Linked DNA regions of Sus scrofa. The protein of the gene in region 3 purifies or fractionates together with the protein of the main gene of each other region. This does not show direct contact. Links are inferred from orthologs where the notes say so. Each region holds a gene or a part of one and is shown on either strand. Other genes may lie near its edges. The genes, in order: ANKRD54, PLCG2 and LYN.

Region 1 (2,346 bases), on a different chromosome or scaffold from region 3:
TGGGTGCTACAGCTGCCAGCCTACAGCCACAGCAACTAGGGATCCGAACCATGTCTGCAACCTACACCACAGCTCATGGCAACACCAGATCCTTAAGCCACGGAGCGAGGCCAGGGCTTGAACTCGAATCCTCATGGTTCCTAGTTGGGTTCATTAACCACTGAGCCACAAAGGGAACTCCTGGACAGTCTGTCTTTACTATAGTCAAATGCTTCCTCGGAGAGGGCTGGCCCTGGTGGGCCTTCCCTTCAGGCTTCCCACTGTGGTGGACCTCTGGGGGCGCTGCCTTTTGCTTGTCTGAGCCCCAAGGGGAAGGTCTTTTCCTTTGCGGATTGGGGGGGCTCCTTTGCAGTGAGTTCGTGTGTGTTTGGATTTTTTTTCTTGGCCGTGCCAGCAGCATGCAGAAGTCCCTAGGCCAAAGACTGAACTTGCACCACAGCAGTGACCTGAGCCACAGCAGTGACAATGCCAGACCCTTAACCCACTATACCACCAGGGAACTCCTACAGTGAATTTTTGAGCCTTCACTAGCATGTTAGTTTCCTGTTACTACTGCAACAAATTACTAGAAATTTAGTGGCTTGAAACAACACAAATTTATTCTCTTACAGTTCTGGTAGTCAGACTAAATCTGTCTAACTGGGCTAAAGTCAAGGTGTCAGCAGGCTGGTTCCTTCTGGAAGTTCTGAAGGAAGAAGCCATCTTCTTGCCTCTTCCAGCATCTGGAGGCTGCCTGCATTTCTTGGCCTGTGACCCCTTCTTCATCGCATTAATCCAACTTCTTGCTTCTGTCACCATCACCTCTGTCGCCATCACCGTATCTCCTCACTGATCCGCTTCCCTCTAATAAGGATCCTGTGATTATATCAGGCCCGCCTAGACAATCCAGGACAGTCACCTTGTCTGAAGACCCTTAATTACATCTGCAAAGTCCCTTTTGTCATCGAAGGTAATGTCCACAGCTTCTTGGGATTCAAACATGGCCATTCTGGGGGCCACTCCTCAGCCTGCTACAACGAGGCTGCAGAATGGCTACGCCCTTCTGGGGTTTCAGTGATTGGGAGAAAAAGGGCTGGGGGTTTTCTGCTTTGGGTTCAGTCGGGTCCTTGCTGGCCTCGTATCTCTAAGGTCTAGGCCCCACCAGCCCTCCCCTTCCAACTCACTGCCACGTCTCCTCGCAAGTCGGCTGGCCAGTCTAAATCTAAGTGCTGGTGAGAAGTACGGGGCCGGCCGAGAGGCCCCCTAGGCCACAGGGTGCCTGCCCGAAGCCCAATCTTGCTGGCTGCAACCAGGGGACACAGGGAAGGGTCTGGGGTGGGCTGGGGGTGCCAGGGAGGCGAGGGGGGGCCTGCTAGGACATCGCATGTTGGTCAGAGCCGAGGTGTGGCTGCGGTGCCGAGGGAGCCGAAGGAGGAAGCCGGGGCTGTGGTCCCGGCCCACAGAGACGCTACAGACCCCGGCGGGGAGTGGCTCCGAGGTCGGTGGGGGAGCATCTGCAGCAGCTGGGGGGCGAGGCACCGGGCTTTTCCTCTGTGATGAGAGCGCGGGGGCAGTGGGGTGGCGGCGGAGCGGGAAGGCGGGGAGCCTCTCGCTACCTCTTCTCCATGTCCTGCATCTGCAGGCTGAGGGAGGTGAAGCTGGCCAGGAGGTCGGTCACTTCATCCACCTGAGGGCGACACCGAGGCTGTTACGGGGTGTCCCCGAGCCTCCCCCACAGCTCCACAGGCATGGAGGGCCGGTGCTGTCTGTCTTCCCAGGGCCTGTGGTGGCTTCACGGTGACTAAGGAACAGCTCTCGAGCAGCCTCAAAGGCAGCAGACAGATGCTTCGCGGCCCGCAGCCCTCAGAGCGGGGGGAGGGTGCTGGCCCCGCGGCTCCCGCGAGGCCCTGGGTCGGGGCCTGCAGCTGCGGCTCACCTGCTCCTTGGTGCTTGTCATCTGGAGGCGGGTGCAGAGGTCGTCCAGCCGCTCGCGCTGCTCATGCCGCCCCAGGCGCTCCAGGTACTCCCGCAGCATCTGGATGATCTGGAACGAGAGGGTGGCCTGAGCGTGTACGAGGAGGCGCAGAGAGGCTGCTGCCGAGGGGCACAGAGGCACAGGTGCCAGCTGGGGTCTGTGGGAAGTCACCCAGGGGCCCCGTGGGGGTTCAGGCAGCACCTGTCCAGGGCTCGCTCCGTGCTGATCTCAGCTGAGAGAGGTGCTCACCTGCTTCACCTCCAGCCGCACAGCCTCGAGGCAATGGGAATGGCCTTCCTGCAGGATGCTGAGCTTTGACTTAGCCAGGTGCAGGGGCGTGCGGCCAGCCCGGTCCAGGGCATCTACACGGGCCCCTGTGGAGCAGGCAGAGG
Region 2 (3,377 bases), on a different chromosome or scaffold from region 3:
TATCTTCCGTCAGTTGCCAAGTGCCAGATATAAAACAGCAACTCGACAAGGAATAACAAAGTCATTACAGCCCTACCGTGGTCAGGCTGCTGTTAGGTATACTCCCGGCTCCGTGGAAGATACAGTGCATTTCTTTTATAAGCTAATGGATAGCTTCCATGAGACCAGGAACCCTGGCTCTTATTTTTCCTTGGTTTTCCTTTAGACATTGTAGCCCTGGACTTTGGCATAGAGCTTGGTGTATGGAAATACTTGAATAACCTGTGCAGAACGAAGGGGTGGGGTTTTGAGATCAAACAGCGCGTGGCCGGTTTGAAGGTACCCTTCGCAACTCATGCACGCCAAGCCCAGGCTAACAAGGGGCGGGCTGAATGGGTTTCTAGGACACAGGCCTGTCCAGGGAAGGCCACCAGGCTCACGGCTACCTTGTTCTTTCCCAACATGATGGCTTTTTCCTCATAGTTACTTTTTTTCTCCCAAGTCGTTTCTCCATCCACTCTGACCAAGTGGTGGCTCTCCTGCCCCTTCCCCTGCCCCCACACCCCACCCTATCCTCGCCTTTAAAAAGCCTTGTTAAATCATCCCTCTGCACAAGTCATTCAGTTGCATCTCACGAGGCAGAGGAACTGAATCTTGGCTTAGGTGGGCCTGCCCCTTGGGTGGGGGCTGCTGCGGCGATTTCTTCTGTAGTTTGCTAAGGCTTTGCTCGCTGCTCCAGGAAACTGGATAAGCCAGAGAGCCTTAACCTGCCTCACCTCGTTTAATCAGTCAGTGACCCCCTGTCTGAGGAGAACTGCCCCCCACCCCCCCGCCCCCGAGCCGGCTGGTGGCTGTGCAGCCAGCTCTTGTGTGGACAGAGCAGGGGTGAGAGGAAGCTGGCTGACCTTTAGGGGCTCTGATCGCTGATGGGCTTTGTATTCAAAGAGGCCCCAAGACTTCTACCCTTGACCCCCACTCGCTCCAGTCACAAAGCAAGTCTCCATCTTAATGAACAGGTTTCACCCCCAGCCCCTCTCAGGCACAGCGCGGGTCTGTCCAGCCGGCTAGTCAGCCGGTGGTAGGTAAAGTGCTTTGACAGGGGCAGGGCGAGGGCTCCTCTGGGCCCTGGTGAAATCCGATGGCCTTAATTGTCAGATCCTTTGCCTTTTAGTGAGAATCCTTTCCGGAAGCTAATGAATGAGTTCCTTACACACCGGGGCTCATCTTCTGAGGAAGTCGATTACCTGGGTCGTTAGAGGCCCGAGAAGGAGTCCTGCTCACTCTGCAGGTCGTGCACAGAAGCTTTAACTGATCGAGATTTTTCATGCTTTTTTATTCAGTGACTTTGGAACACGCGAGGCCAAACACGAGCGAGCACGTTTTGGGCATCCTCTAAAGAGACTCTAAGTTAAGAGATTTGTCCGAGATGAAAAAACTAGCAGGAAATCGCCCAATTCATGCCAGCTGGGTCTTCTTCGGACAGGTCGTCTGGGTGACAGGCTTGAGGGGAGGATGACGTCCCAGATGAGCCCGTCCCGGGCACACACATGCTCCCACGTGTGAACGCGCCCGTGCGCGCACGCACCGCGGCTTCTAGGAGTAAAACTTGCTGTTGCTGACCCTCTTCTCTCTCAACCTGCGGGCAAGCAGATTTCACTGTTAGTCTCAGACAGGGGCCAAGGGCTGAAGGCCAGCGTTTCTCCGGCCACACAGCTGAGGGACATTCAGGGCTGGAGGGCACAGGGCAGAGTCGGAGAGGTGGGCCCCCGGCACTGTACCCTTTCTGAATCTGTTTGCTCACTGGGCGCTGCTACTCTGGAGGTGTAGAAAGAGGCAATGAGAATAACATGGGTAAGGAGGCTCCACGCTGTTTCCAGGGCATTTTCTTGGGGAGAGTTCTTTGTAGGCCAGGGCAGCGTGGCATCCTGGCTGGCCCTCCTTGTGTGCCTGCAGCCCGATCAGAAGCATCCCCGTTGGGGAGGGGGGTGGGGAGTCCTGGACCAGCCCATGCTTGGGATCTCAAGCAAAGCTCCTTAAAGGGTCGTGGCCGTGGCTGGCTCTCCCTGGTAGATGGAAATGCCATTCTCCCGAGGACAGTTCAACTCAGGCAAAGTGCAGCTGCTTAAGATGTGACTCTACGTAATTTACGAAGCAAAGGGACGAAGAGTCCAGGGTGCCAGAGGCGGTCTAAAGACGGAGGCTTTCCCAGAGCCCTGGCCAGGGGACCCGTGGGGTGGGGCTGACCCACCTGCGGTTGCACTTCTCCTGGTAGAGCTGCAGCTGGTTCTCGTTGACGTTGAACTCTCGGACGAGGGCATCCCGGTTGGCGTTGCGCAAGTTCTGGTGTGTGTCGTACAGAAAGAGCTGGTTGTTGAGCTCCTCCTGGCGCCTCCGCAGCTGGCGGCAGGAGGCGTAGAGCTCCTCCTCACTCTCCTGGAGGAGAAAGGGCAAAACAACCATGTGGGGCTGGTCTCTTAAAACTGCAGCGTGGGCGGCAGCCCCGGGCGGGTGTGAGTGCAGGGAGCCTGGGGCGCATCTGCTCATCTGCTGGGATTTTCCCAGAAAAGCCAGGGCCAATTTTAACCAAAGATACGCTCACCATGATTTAGTCCATTGGAAGCAAGCAGTTTAAGAAATTCTGGTGCACAGGAAGGGGTAACTTTATTATGAAACACTGAAAAAACAAATGCACTGCTGTCTGATCCTATTTCTTCATTAAATCTGGTTTCTCATGGGTCTGTCTCCTGTGGCTCTCATGCAAATGCAAAGGCTGTGTGCTTCCAGTGGCACACAGCAGGTGAGGGGACAGCAGCCTGAGGGTGGAGGGAGTGGAGACAGCTAAGGAGCAGGAGTTTCTTTTGGGAGTGATGAAAATGTTCCAGAATTGGTCATAGTGATGATTACACCTCTGTGAATAGACTTAAGAACCACTGGATTGTATGCTTTAAATGGGTGAAATGTACAGCAGATGAATTATATCTCAACAAATACTACCCTCATTCTCCTCTGGTCAAAAGAGCCAACGTCACATAGGTTATGCCCTAGAGATGGGCATGTGACTCAGTTCTAGCTGATAGTAACCACCTACTCCCCTGCCACACCTATCTCCAGGTAGATAGTATCCACAGGGCTTGGGTTGGTGTTCTTGGTAAAAAGACAGTTGCTTCTCTTGGGGGTTGGCAGAAAGAGTGACGAATGTTTCCTGCTGCTACTGGTCCCTGTGTTGTCATTCATATAGAGAAAGAAATAGAGCCACTGGGAGAGCACCTGGATCCAGCCATGACTGAAACATGCCCTACTCGTAAACCCTGAGGTTGTCTAAACCAAAATATAATATTTAGCAAAATATTATGCTAAAGAAAAAAAATTGGGCATTCCCGTTGTGGTGCAATGGAAAC
Region 3 (3,654 bases):
TGGTGTAGGTCGAAGACGAGGCTTGGATCCTGCATTGCTGTGGCTGTGGTGTAGGATGGCAGCTACAGCTCTGATTTGACCCCTAGCTTGGGAACCTCCATATGCTGAGAGTGGGGCCCTAAAATGCAAAAAAAAAAAGGAAGCAAAAAAGGGTTTACCATGGTGTGTATAATGCTTATCATACTTACAGAACATCAGTGTAATCATTGCTGTGCTTCTTCCCCCTCAGGAAGTTACTCTCTGTCGGTCAGAGATTACGACCCGGTGCATGGAGATGTTATTAAGCACTACAAAATCAGAAGCCTGGACAATGGGGGTTATTACATCTCCCCACGAATCACTTTTCCTTGTATCAGTGACATGATTAAGTATTACCAAAGTAAGTGACAACACAAGGTCAGACAGGAAAAGCTATAACTATATGGTGTCCAATACTTTTTTATATTGCAATTTTTTGTATCTTGCCACTTTACTGAATTCATTGATTACTAGGCTTCTGGTAGTCTGTAGGATTTTCTATGTATAGTATCAGGTCATCTGCAAATAGTGACAGTTTTATATCTTCCTTTCCAATTTGGGTACCTTTTATTTGTTTTTCTTGTCTGATTGCTGTGGCTAGGACTTCAAATACTATGTTAAATACAATTTTGGGAGGTCCCATCATGGCTCAGCGGAAACAAATCCGACTAGTATCCATGAGGACACAGGTTCACTCCCTGGCCTCACCCAGTGGGTTGAGGATCTGGCATTGCCACGAGCTGTGGTGTAGGTCACAGATGTGGCTGTGGCTGCAGTGTAGGCCAGCGGCTACAGCTCCGATTTGACCCCTAGCCCGGGAACCTCTGTATGCCTCGAGTGTGGCCCTAAAAAACCAAAAAAAAAAAAAAAAGGAAAAAAAAATTTTTTTTGTATGTGTCATATTTCTTCTGGATAAAGCTGGAGGATTATAATTGGTTCTAAATGAAACTATAAGTATACATTCAGGGTCAGCTTGGGTCTTTATGAATAATTATCACAGACCTTCCCATTGATTTGTGCTGTTTTAACAGCTGCTGTTCCAGAATTACAAAGAAAGTAATGAATATTATCTTGGCATCGTACATACTTTTTTACAACGCATCTTTAAATGTCTAGACTAGGAATGCCGATTTGTGGATGTGTCTTAGTGTATATATGTGTACGTGTGTGTAAAAGTAATAGATACTCCTGGTCACAGAAAACAGAAATAACCCCCAAACACCAAATTATTTAGAAGTGGCCCATCAGCTCCAATTCCAGACTGCTCTCCAGCACTGCTCTGATGAACCCACAACCAGCCTTTAGGTTTGAGTTTGGCTGTGATGGGCAGCTGTTGTTACTGCTTATTTCTTCCACCTGCTCTAAGGGAACACGCCTGATAAAATTTGCCTAGGTCCCACAGTATGGAGAGAGCAAGTGCCCCGGATTTGGTGCCCCCGCCCCCCGTTACCCCCACCCTCTGTTCATCAGCCCCGTGCGTTGAGTGCTTGTGGAGCCCTGGCCCTTTTGTGGAGCTAGGGTCTCCTGGTGACACAACCAAGTCCCCAGCATTGTGCCCTGAAGAGCTTACATGAGCTCGGTGATGATACTTTTATTAAGTGTGACCACCTGTCTGTCTTTATTTATCTGTTCATTCTGCTTTTAATTTTTATAGATTAGCATTCCTGGTGAATACAATCCAGTCTGTCTTAAATTGTCTTTCACTTAAGAATTTCAAATGTGGAGTTCCCATTGTGGCGCAGTGGTTAACGAATCCAACTAGGAACCATGTGGTTGTGGGTTCGGTCCCTGCCCTTGCTCAGTGGGTTAACGATCCAGCATTGCCGTGAACTGTGGTGTAGGTTACAGATGCGGCTTGGATCCTGCATTGCTGTGGCTCTGGCGTAGGCCGGCAGCTACAGCTGATTCGACCCCTAGCCTGGGAACCTCCATATGCCGAGGGAGCAGCCCAAAGAAATAGCAAAAAGACAAAAAAAAAAAAAAAAAAAAAAAAAGAATTTCAAATGTTATGTTATTACACAGAAGATACCCCCTTGAGTATTTTAGGTTTGTAGACTTTGGCGGGTTGGAAATGATAAGATGGATCGTCCAGACGTCTCTGCAGATGCTGGTAAAATGCAAAGGATCACCTTTTCCGCGTTTACTCTCTCCTTCAAATCAGAGCAGTCGGATGGCTTGTGCAGAAGATTGGAGAAGGCGTGCATTAGCCCCAAACCACAGAAGCCATGGGACAAAGATGCGTGGGAGATCCCCCGGGAGTCCATTAAGCTGGTGAAGAGGCTCGGCGCTGGGCAGTTCGGGGAAGTCTGGATGGGTGAGTGTGTGGGAGACAGAGTCCCCTCTGGAGGTGATGGTGGGAGACGCAAGAACTCCAGCCGTTTCTGTCCGTTTTCTCAGAAGTATGGCTACTTTTGTTTCCTTTTGTCCACCTGGTGCCAAGGACTCACCTACAACACCCACGAGATTAGATTCTACCTCTTCCTGTGACTTGGTAACTCTCTTTCAGGAGGAATGTTTATCAGGAAGTGGGCAGTGGCATTTATGCTGGTGGTTCTGTCTTCTCTTCCACGATTCTCTCATCACCAGACTCTCTGGATACACCCGTGAAATAAGTACCGGAACATGCTTGCATTTCAGGGAAGGGTGGCCCTGGGCTAGGACCATCCTTACTAGGGAGCTGAAGAGAGAGCCTCACATATACTGTGGTTTCTCACCAAGAAACTTTCTCAAGATGCTCAAAGTTCCATCATCAGTGAAGCATTCCTTATTATTAAATGCTGCCATCTCAGGCTGGCAAGAAGTTCACCGAAATTCCAGCAGTGGCTTCCCCCAGGGAATTCTTTTTACCCACCTGTCTTTTCTAAGGTTTTTTTTATAGTGAACGTGAATTCCTTTCCCTTTGTAATAAGATTTTTTTTTTTTTCTTTTTCCAGCTGCACTTCGGCATATGGAAGTTTCCGGGCCAGGGGTCCAAGGGGAGCTGCAGGTCTACACCACAGCCACAGCAAAGCTGGATCCGAGCATATCTGCAACCTACGCCATAGACTATGGCAACACCAGATCCTTAAGCCACTAAGCAAGGCCAGGGATCGAACCCACATCCTCACAGAGACAATATCGGGTTCTTAACCCACTGATCTACAATGGAAACCCCTGGAATAAGAATTTCTAACAGCTCTTTTTCTTGGATCACAGTCTCCACGCCAGCTTTGCGTGAGTGAGAACAGTCGTGATTTCTAAAGAGAAAGGGTAAATGGCTTTTGGAAACTGTTTGGCCCCAGCAGAGCACAAACTAGGCTCTTCAGCCTCTGCCTCCTCGTGGTCGTGTCATGTCCCCAGCCAGGGGTCTGTGAGAGAGGTTTGCCCTCTAAAATCTCAGCCCCTGGCATCACAGCTTTGCCCATCCTCTCCTGTTGCCGCTGCTTTAGCAGAAGGGGGAGCAGGATGGGACTGTTAATGGGTATGGGGTTTCCTTGGGGGCCATGAAAACACTCCAGTTATTGATGGCAGGGATGGTCCCACAAATATAAATATAGAAAAGCCAATGGATTATATACTTCAAGGGAGACAATAATATAGTATAGGAATTATATTTTAATAATACTGTCGTAGAAATCAGCAAAATAACCCAGGGAG

The links.
Region 1: the proteins of LYN (region 3) and ANKRD54 purify together in Homo sapiens (affinity purification with mass spectrometry; 3 studies listed by BioGRID and IntAct, with this or other methods). This does not show direct contact. The link is inferred for Sus scrofa from reciprocal best matches to the Homo sapiens genes LYN and ANKRD54.
Region 2: the proteins of LYN (region 3) and PLCG2 purify together in Homo sapiens (affinity purification with western blotting; 3 studies listed by BioGRID, with this or other methods). This does not show direct contact. The link is inferred for Sus scrofa from reciprocal best matches to the Homo sapiens genes LYN and PLCG2.

Annotation. Positions count from the first base shown.
Region 1 is NC_010447.5:10,015,967-10,018,312, reverse strand, and holds the end of ANKRD54 (ankyrin repeat domain-containing protein 54), read right to left. Parts: intron 2,329-2,346; coding exon 2,204-2,328; intron 2,024-2,203; coding exon 1,916-2,023; intron 1,667-1,915; coding exon 1,592-1,666; 3' UTR 573-1,591; downstream 1-572. UniProt on the Homo sapiens protein: Plays an important role in regulating intracellular signaling events associated with erythroid terminal differentiation.
Region 2 is NC_010448.4:6,435,833-6,439,209, forward strand, and holds part of PLCG2 (1-phosphatidylinositol 4,5-bisphosphate phosphodiesterase gamma-2), read right to left. Parts: intron 2,413-3,377; coding exon 2,228-2,412; intron 1,616-2,227; coding exon 1,573-1,615; 3' UTR 1-1,572. UniProt on the Homo sapiens protein: The production of the second messenger molecules diacylglycerol (DAG) and inositol 1,4,5-trisphosphate (IP3) is mediated by activated phosphatidylinositol-specific phospholipase C enzymes. It is a crucial enzyme in transmembrane signaling.
Region 3 is NC_010446.5:75,839,048-75,842,701, reverse strand, and holds part of LYN (tyrosine-protein kinase Lyn), read left to right. Parts: intron 1-229; coding exon 230-379; intron 380-2,179; coding exon 2,180-2,332; intron 2,333-3,654. UniProt on the Homo sapiens protein: Non-receptor tyrosine-protein kinase that transmits signals from cell surface receptors and plays an important role in the regulation of innate and adaptive immune responses, hematopoiesis, responses to growth factors and cytokines, integrin signaling, but also responses to DNA damage and genotoxic agents.